3 linked regions of the Saccharomyces cerevisiae S288C genome follow. Changing the gene in region 3 together with the main gene of any one other region gives a genetic interaction. Each region holds a gene or a part of one and is shown on either strand. Other genes may lie near its edges.

What was found. Genes that interact genetically often act in the same process or in processes that back each other up.
Region 1: mutations in ERV15 (region 3) and SDT1 together harm fitness less than expected from each alone (positive genetic interaction), as found in Saccharomyces cerevisiae (2 studies listed by BioGRID).
Region 2: mutations in ERV15 (region 3) and EDC1 together harm fitness more than expected from each alone (negative genetic interaction), as found in Saccharomyces cerevisiae (2 studies listed by BioGRID).

What each region holds. Positions count from the first base shown.
Region 1 is NC_001139.9:77,515-80,424, reverse strand, and holds SDT1 (nucleotidase), read left to right. Parts: upstream 1-1,567; coding exon 1,568-2,410; downstream 2,411-2,910. Other genes in the region: Golgi transport complex subunit COG1, read left to right, coding at 60-1,313; VRG4 (GDP-mannose transporter), read right to left, coding at 2,518-2,910. UniProt on the Saccharomyces cerevisiae protein: Could be an enzyme that inactivates 6-azauracil by modifying it.
Region 2 is NC_001139.9:80,159-83,134, reverse strand, and holds EDC1 (Edc1p), read left to right. Parts: upstream 1-1,948; coding exon 1,949-2,476; downstream 2,477-2,976. Other genes in the region: ERMES complex subunit MDM34, read left to right, coding at 1-257; BOL2 (Bol2p), read right to left, coding at 399-761; NIF3 (uncharacterized protein), read left to right, coding at 843-1,709; Golgi transport complex subunit COG1, read left to right, coding at 2,770-2,976. UniProt on the Saccharomyces cerevisiae protein: mRNA-binding protein which stimulates mRNA decapping by DCP1 and DCP2. Involved in the regulation of expression of multiple genes involved in glycolysis and gluconeogenesis.
Region 3 is NC_001134.8:643,719-646,641, forward strand, and holds ERV15 (Erv15p), read left to right. Parts: upstream 1-1,831; coding exon 1,832-2,260; downstream 2,261-2,923. Other genes in the region: AME1 (Ame1p), read right to left, coding at 2,440-2,923.

The sequences.
Region 1 (2,910 bases), on a different chromosome or scaffold from region 3:
ACACATTCGTACAACAAATCTTGTGGTAGAAAACCTAAAAAAAACCAATACGATAGAAAATGGATGAAGTCTTACCATTGTTTCGCGATTCTCATATTCCACAGATTAAAGATTATCAATTGGAGTTACAGAACGATTTGACTAAAACCAATGAGGCCTTCCAAAAGAATTTGCTAAAGAACTATAACAAGATCTTAAGCTTGACCGATTCTGTTAATGACTTGTCGCTCAATTTGAAAAATGTTGATCAAGATTTTAAATCCCTGTGTTTCAATGATGAAAAATTTCAGTTGAATAAGTTAACTCCACTACCATACCAAACCACTACCCATATATCACCACCTCGTGACGAAGAAAAAGTCAGCATACCATCGCAAAACATTTTAGTAATTTCAAATTGGACCATCTCCATCAACAACTTCTGTAATCGTATAGTTACTTCCACTACTCCGTCGCGGATATTCGACGAGCTACTGTTGAATTTCCACGAATTATCTTTGATACCAGTTCCTTCCAAATTTGAAGCGCTTGTCAAGGACAAATGTTGTCGACTACAGAAGTTCTTGGTGGACTCTATGAAGACATTAAACTTAACTTTACTACAGTGGGTAAAACTATACAATTTACTAAACACGGAGTTTTCCTCGAAGTGGGACGATGATTTACTTTCTATATTCAATGAATCCCTATTCGAGACACTATTTAACGATAACGTTCAAGCGTTACTGATATCAAGTGCCAACAGCAAAGATCATCAATATCACTCCAATCAGCAATATAAGGACGCGATTGTTGTCGATTTTGTGAATTCGTCCACCTTTAGAGACCATCTCATTCGGAGAACCGTGAAAGAAATAAACACACATTTGGATACACTCTCTACTTTGAGAGCCAAGCTTAAGGAGCCTGAAACTCTTCATAAATTAGATATCTTCCATGATAATGATACGAACCTCAATGATGGCACTGTATCTCCACTTGATGATGATGCATTGAAACAATATATTGATACAGCGGTATTCTATTCAAAAGGTTTAACCAATGATACCACGTTGCAAATTTATCAAACGGTGCAGCCTACGATTGAAATCCTACAAAACTTAGAATTGTATAAATGCCCTCAAGAGACACTGACAGATTTGAGAAATAAATTGATTACTCAATTGCAAGAGTTTAAGACTCAGATCTCATCCCGCTTACCTTCACCACTGGAAAACTCAACGAGTGTTGTGGATGATTTTATAACTTCGTACAACAATCACAATCTCTTGCAATTAGTCATCGATCAAATTACTCAATTAAGGCAACAGTAATATAATAGCACGAGGGAGGGTACCCGCCTCGCAAACTTATTGATAATGATAATGGTATGGGCGTTGATATATACATATATATATATATATATATATATATATATATATACATAATATATATATGTTTATCTGTGTGTATCTATGTGGACTTCAATAAGTGATCGCCTTCTTGATATCATATTACTCCCCCATTTCACCTGAATTAATTTCGGAATACATGAGTAAGCTCTTGGACCGAATCATTACTAGGCTTCATGACTGTTGAATATACTGCATCCGATTTGGCAACCTATCAGAATGAGGTGAACGAACAAATTGCCAAGAATAAAGCACATCTTGAATCATTGACTCATCCAGGTTCGAAAGTGACATTTCCGATCGATCAAGATATTTCTGCTACACCTCAAAACCCGAACTTAAAAGTTTTCTTTTTTGATATCGACAACTGTCTCTATAAATCATCCACGAGAATTCACGATCTTATGCAACAATCTATACTGAGGTTCTTTCAAACACACTTGAAACTATCACCTGAAGATGCTCACGTTTTGAATAACTCTTACTACAAAGAGTATGGACTTGCCATAAGGGGACTTGTAATGTTCCACAAAGTGAACGCACTGGAATATAACCGGCTTGTGGATGATTCCTTACCACTACAAGATATCTTGAAACCTGATATACCATTAAGGAATATGCTGTTGAGATTGAGACAATCGGGAAAGATTGATAAATTGTGGCTTTTCACCAACGCTTATAAAAACCACGCAATACGTTGCCTGAGATTGTTGGGTATAGCGGATTTATTTGATGGATTGACATATTGTGACTACTCTAGGACAGATACGCTGGTCTGCAAACCACATGTTAAAGCATTTGAAAAAGCCATGAAGGAAAGCGGGTTGGCAAGATACGAGAATGCTTATTTTATAGATGACAGTGGGAAAAACATCGAGACAGGTATCAAATTGGGCATGAAAACATGTATTCATTTAGTTGAGAATGAAGTAAATGAAATTTTGGGGCAAACACCAGAAGGCGCTATTGTCATTAGTGATATATTGGAGTTACCACACGTTGTGTCCGACCTGTTCTAAGGTATATCAATTTTAAGTATAATTGTATATAAATCTACTTGCATTAGATGCCTCTATAAAATAAAATAAACCAAAAAAAAAAAATAAATTGCACCCCCCGTAAGTTCTCATTTACGTAAAGGTTGGGCTTGTTGCTTCTTTTGTTTGGCAACAGCATAAATAATACCTGATAGGAAACCAATAAAAATGGAGAGAATAGATAAGAAGTTTCTTGGAGCATCAAAGAAAATCAAACCAGACAAGGCAATTGGCAGCTTGTTCAAAGCCCCTACCATCGAATATGTAGTAGACGAAGTAACACGAACACACCAACCGGAACAGTAAGAAATACCGACGGATGCAACACCACTGATGATCATAGCAGTTAGCGAATCGTTAGAAAAGTTATTGGTCAAATTAACTGAAGACCAATCTTCCACACAGAAAGAAAACAGCAATAGAATAGGTAGAGCCAAAACATTGTTGTAAAACATAGTGTCGAAATCCTTGAAGTTAGTTAA
Region 2 (2,976 bases), on a different chromosome or scaffold from region 3:
GTACTGCTATTGAAACAGTTACGTCCACACCGGTCCAAACACCGATACCCGAGCTTGAAGAACAATCTCCCCCATATTTGAAAACAACAGTATCGATAAGGGATAAATACGTTATACCAGAAAAAATATCGCTAAATTTGGACTCCAAGAAAGATACATCTAAAAAGAAACCGTTTTACTTCATAGGTTTGAACTCGCAAGAACCTTCAAATAACTGGAAATGGGGCATGGAGGATAGCCCCCCACCATATCATTAAATTAAGTTACATATCTAAGTACATAACTACACAAATACATACTCTCCGATGTAAATAACGTAAGAAAGCAAAATCGTCTATGCCAAAAAGATTCAATGCCGTCTCCTTTCGAAACTTAATAATAGAACAATATCATCCTTTTCATACCACAATCTTAGACCATTCCTCCTCAGTGTAGCACTTGCAGCTAAAGGCATGAATCTCCTGCAGCTCTTCTTTCACAGCCTTGTTCACTGCACGACTCCTCATTAGTTTGCTTTTACCTTGAAAGAAGTCGCTGACCACCACAATATCAAACGACTGACCACAACCGTACGAAAGATCCGTCACAATGATATGGTAAACTTGCGGTATGGCTGATTCTATCCTCTCGCGGAGTCCCTGTTCAGTAACGGGCATCTTATAGTGTCGTTGGCGCTTTGTTTCTCTCCACTGAGTTGTTAGGAAATGTGATTTTGCAAATTCGTCATTTATTTTCACCTTTTCAATTCTTTCACCTGTCATATATATGTATATATATAACACCGAAAAACTTATTCCAATACACAGTCGGAAGGAAACAGAACAAGAGTCCACCGAAACGCAATGAGCAGAGCTATTACTAGAGCACAATTGGACAAACTTGTGCGTAGCATTACCAAGTTCTACCCTCAAAAGTACGCAGACAAGAGCTGGGACAATACGGGTCTTCTCATCGATTGTTCCACTGCACAAGTCACCACTGCCGATGCAAACGCTAAAACAAAGGTCCTTTTGACTGTAGACCTCACGAAGTCAGTTGCTCAAGAAGCTGTGGATGCTAACTGCAACGTAATTGTTGCTTACCATCCTTTTATTTTCCCAAGCTGGAACAGATTAAGCCCACATACAAACCCACAACACGAGACAGCTATAAAGCTAATCCAGTACGGAATATCCGTATACTGCCCTCACACTGCCGTAGATGCCGCTCGTGGCGGTGTAAATGACTGGTTGGTTAGGGGTTTGAACAACGGAGAGAACGTCGCAAAGTCTTATGCCTTGGAAACTGTAAGTGGCGAAACTGACGACTTGATTGGCTACGGTAGATTCGTAGAATTCAATAAAGACATCTCTTTGGAGCAAATTGTCAAAAATGTCAAGCGTGTTTTACGGGTTCCCTATGTACAAGTAGCATCTCTTGCTGCTCCATCCGCATGGAATCAACTCAAAATCAAAAAAGTCGCTGTCTGTGCCGGGAGCGGTTCTGGCGTGTTTAAGCAACTAAAAGAGGACGTAGACCTTTACTATACGGGAGAAATGTCACATCATGAAGTACTGAAGTGGAAAGAAATGGGCAAGACCGTTATTGTTTGCAACCACTCAAATACTGAGCGTGGATTCCTTCAAGACGTTATGAAGGGCTTGTTGCAAGATGAGGGCCACGAAGTAGTCGTAAGCAAAATGGATTGCGATCCTTTGACTGTTGCATAGCTGCTAGTAATTATATGGCTATATAGGATATCACAAATACCATACGTACTACAGTTTTATCATCCGGCTGTTCGTGTAAAATGATGTTGTTGTATCGGATAGAGAAATACGGATAGAAAAGGTAAAAGTCTTCAAATAACAAGGACAATAACATACTCTGTATTGAAGACGAAGTACTCAGCAAAGCGTAACGTAATTACACTTAGCACACAAATATACTCACACAAATATTACAAGGCATGTCGACGGATACCATGTATTTCAACAGCTCCAGGCTGTTGCCATCGGCTGGCAGGAACAAGACAAATAATCTAATCAAACAAAAAACTAGAAATAATCGTGCGAGGGGAAATGCTGCTAAGAACGCCAATAATAACAACTATATCACAGATATACCACCTCCTCAAACTCTTCCTAACGGTCAGAAACCTAACTTCGGCCATTCTTCCAACAAGAAACCATCATTTAATCAAAAGAAGCACTCTCCACCTTCTTCCCCTTCCTCTACAACTACTTTAGGTAAAAAAAACAGACAGAATAATAAAGAAACGCCACGACAGAACAACAAAGATGATACTCGTTTACTGAGTCAGAACCTAAAGAATCTGCTTCTGAACCAGAAACAATCCCCGCATGGCTCTCAAGGGATAATACCAATGGGTTGTAATGGCAGTGCCAAAAAACTCAGTCACTCTTATGCAGGCTCCACTTTCGCCACTAATGGTCCAAGGGAGGCTAAAAACTTGCCCAAACCAAGTTTTTTATAATCACCCTTTAGAGAGACATTTTTGATTTTTTTTTTTTTTTTTTTTTTTTTTTTTTTAGAATAATGCATATTTTTATTTGATATATACCTATGTACCAATTATACGAATGCTTATGTCTGTTTTGGATCTGGTCATCCAAAGCAATTTCTCAGATGACAATTTTTTTTTCCTATTTTCTGTTACAGTTCATCATTATGCTGAAGAAAAATGAAACATGGCGGTGAATAATAAATAACACATTCGTACAACAAATCTTGTGGTAGAAAACCTAAAAAAAACCAATACGATAGAAAATGGATGAAGTCTTACCATTGTTTCGCGATTCTCATATTCCACAGATTAAAGATTATCAATTGGAGTTACAGAACGATTTGACTAAAACCAATGAGGCCTTCCAAAAGAATTTGCTAAAGAACTATAACAAGATCTTAAGCTTGACCGATTCTGTTAATGACTTGTCGCTCAATTTGAAAAATGTTGATCAAGATTTTAAATCCCTG
Region 3 (2,923 bases):
CTGAGCTTCTCGTTTAACATTCCTTCTGCAATAGGCGCAATCACACTTAAACGTATACGAGTTGTACATTAATATACGATGTAAGCATTGAATTGTTACCATAGCAACTCATGTCACTATTAATTACTCTCGTTCCAACATAATATTATTATGGAGTAATATCTATTCCCTTTCGTGGATTCCAAGATTCTCGAGGTATATTTCCAGTATATTTTGTATACCTGATATTATAGCCTTTAGCAACAACGAAATCAACATTTATCTCAAATTTCACCTGTTTCTCATTTTTAAGCGCCTAGCCCATCTAATCATCTTAACTATTCATCAGGGAAAATTAATATACATTGTGCTCTTAATGTTTCGAAAAATAATCAAAATCAATAGAAATAGCGTTTTGCTACTAACAAAGCCCTTTGATCCAAAGTTGGCTTCTGAGAACTTAACATTTCAGTAGAACAAGCCTCAAGCTTAAATGAAGAATGGCAAAGTAAATGAGACCTCTCTCTCCATATTTTGCTCAGAGCCTGTTAAGGAAAACAACACCGCACATTAGTGTGAAAAACTTTCCCCGCAAGCTGTTGGAAGATGAATCATTTATTATCTTTTGACTGTTAGCTACATTACTAGCTGTTATCAATCTCTCAGACGATTATATGAATATTGAGATAGTTGTTGGGATTAACTTATTGTTAGAGGCTATAGCATCAGATATACAAAATAAAATAAAAAGTTCTCCTCCAAGATATAGTGTAATCGATATTTCGATGTAATGCCATCATTATTTCTTCTATTTTATGTATTCCTATTGTCCTCTAACATTGTATCTGATAATATTCTAGTAATAGGATTACCATCACTAAATGATAGTTAATTCTCATTCCAAAACCGACTCCTGTCAATATTGAGGACCCATTTATTCCAACGGTCCAAATCCCCAATATTCCCTGCTCGGCAAGAAGTTAGAAAACATATCTTTCGTGCTCTTGCAGGCTTGCTGTATTATCATAACCGAAGGATGACCAACTTTGATCACCCCAGGTGGCAAAAACATAATACATGGTGGTGGTGTCGTTGTAAAAATCATCTTCTTTGGGTGTGTATAGGATCCCATCCAACACACGTGTTAAAATGACATCAGGTATCAATGCTAATCCGTCGTCACTGACAATAAGCTGAGTTGACATCACCTGATGATGTGAAATAGTAGCAAGAGAACTAGGGTAAGGTTCATGCTGGTTGTTTTCCTATGATGACCAACCTTTGGAATTGGGTAATTCTAGGTGTAGCCTGCTAGCCATCAAACGAGACCTTTCAAAATCTTCAGTCATTACATTTTCTTCTGTAAATAGGGAAAAAAGCCTTTAGCTAGGATTGTTCGGCAATAGAAAGCCCTCCAGTTTAAACTTGACATAGAAAATCTTTAAGGTTAAATCAAACATAAGTTATTATCCGATATAGTGTAACGGCTATCACATCACGCTTTCACCGTGGAGACCGGGGTTCGACTCCCCGTATCGGAGTTATTTTTTGTTTCTATACCATTATTTTTCTTGAATGTTGCATTATGATAGTATAGTTTTGCTATACAAACTTCAATTCTCAAAACACAGTACGTCTAGCTCACTACTACTCTCTCTAATTCAAAATCGTTCACTTCTATCGAAAGCTGTGATAATTTGGAAATATTGTCGTGGGCCACGAATGATTTTTCAATTACATTGCTAAATACGAAGACATTAATACCTTTATTCATATAAGCACTTTCATTATCATTTTTTACTAAAGATAAAACTAACTGCAGGCACCAAGAAGTTCGAAGCCAAGAGTAAAGATGTCAGGAACCGGATTATCGCTATTCGTGACGGGTCTTATACTGAATTGTTTGAATTCCATTTGCCAGATATACTTTACTATATTATATGGTGATCTTGAAGCAGACTATATCAACTCAATCGAACTGTGTAAGAGGGTGAATAGGTTGAGTGTACCAGAGGCAATTCTACAAGCTTTCATTTCTGCATTGTTTCTTTTTAACGGGTACTGGTTCGTATTTCTCTTGAATGTCCCTGTTCTAGCATATAACGCAAGTAAAGTCTACAAGAAAACACATCTACTGGACGCCACGGATATTTTCAGAAAATTGGGTAGATGCAAAATTGAATGCTTTTTAAAATTGGGATTTTACCTTCTCATATTCTTTTTCTACTTCTACAGAATGGTCACAGCGTTACTTGAAAATGATGCAAATTTGATAAGCTAATAGCGACAACAGGAAAAAAAAAGAGAGATTTGTGCATATCTATGAAGTATGTCTACCACATAAAAATGACCTTATAACACAACTTCCTTAGTATGGAAGTAATACATATATACATATATACATATATACATACATATATATATATATATATATATATATACATCTTTTGAACCAATTCCCTATAGACTTGGTTGTAATTCGTTAGAAAGATTTTCATTAATTTTATTTATCTTTTTCAGAAGTCCGTTATATGGATCCATCAAGTCTACGAAATGTGCAATATCCAGAATATTTGAGTCATCCCGTATTGAATCGTCCTCGCTATCTTGGCTCATAATTTTGCGATCTCCCTCGTATTTGCCTAGCAAAGTAGAAGTCAAATCATTTAGCCTCTTATTTAGCTTCACTTTGTCGTTCAGTTTGGCTTGTTCATTTTGTAAGTCATGCCAGTCTTTACCGGCTTTCAACTCTTGAATTTCATTTCGTACCGATATTATCTGCTGGTTCAAATCTTCTTTTCGAGCAAGTACCTGCTTCAGTTGGTAGCAGAGCTCATTATTCGACACGTTGATATCTAATATGTCTTTCAAGTCTCTGGTCATTTGGTCTGATATCGTTTGAAAGAGTCGCAGATCTAATTTGTACAATAGTTTCCTAAATTGA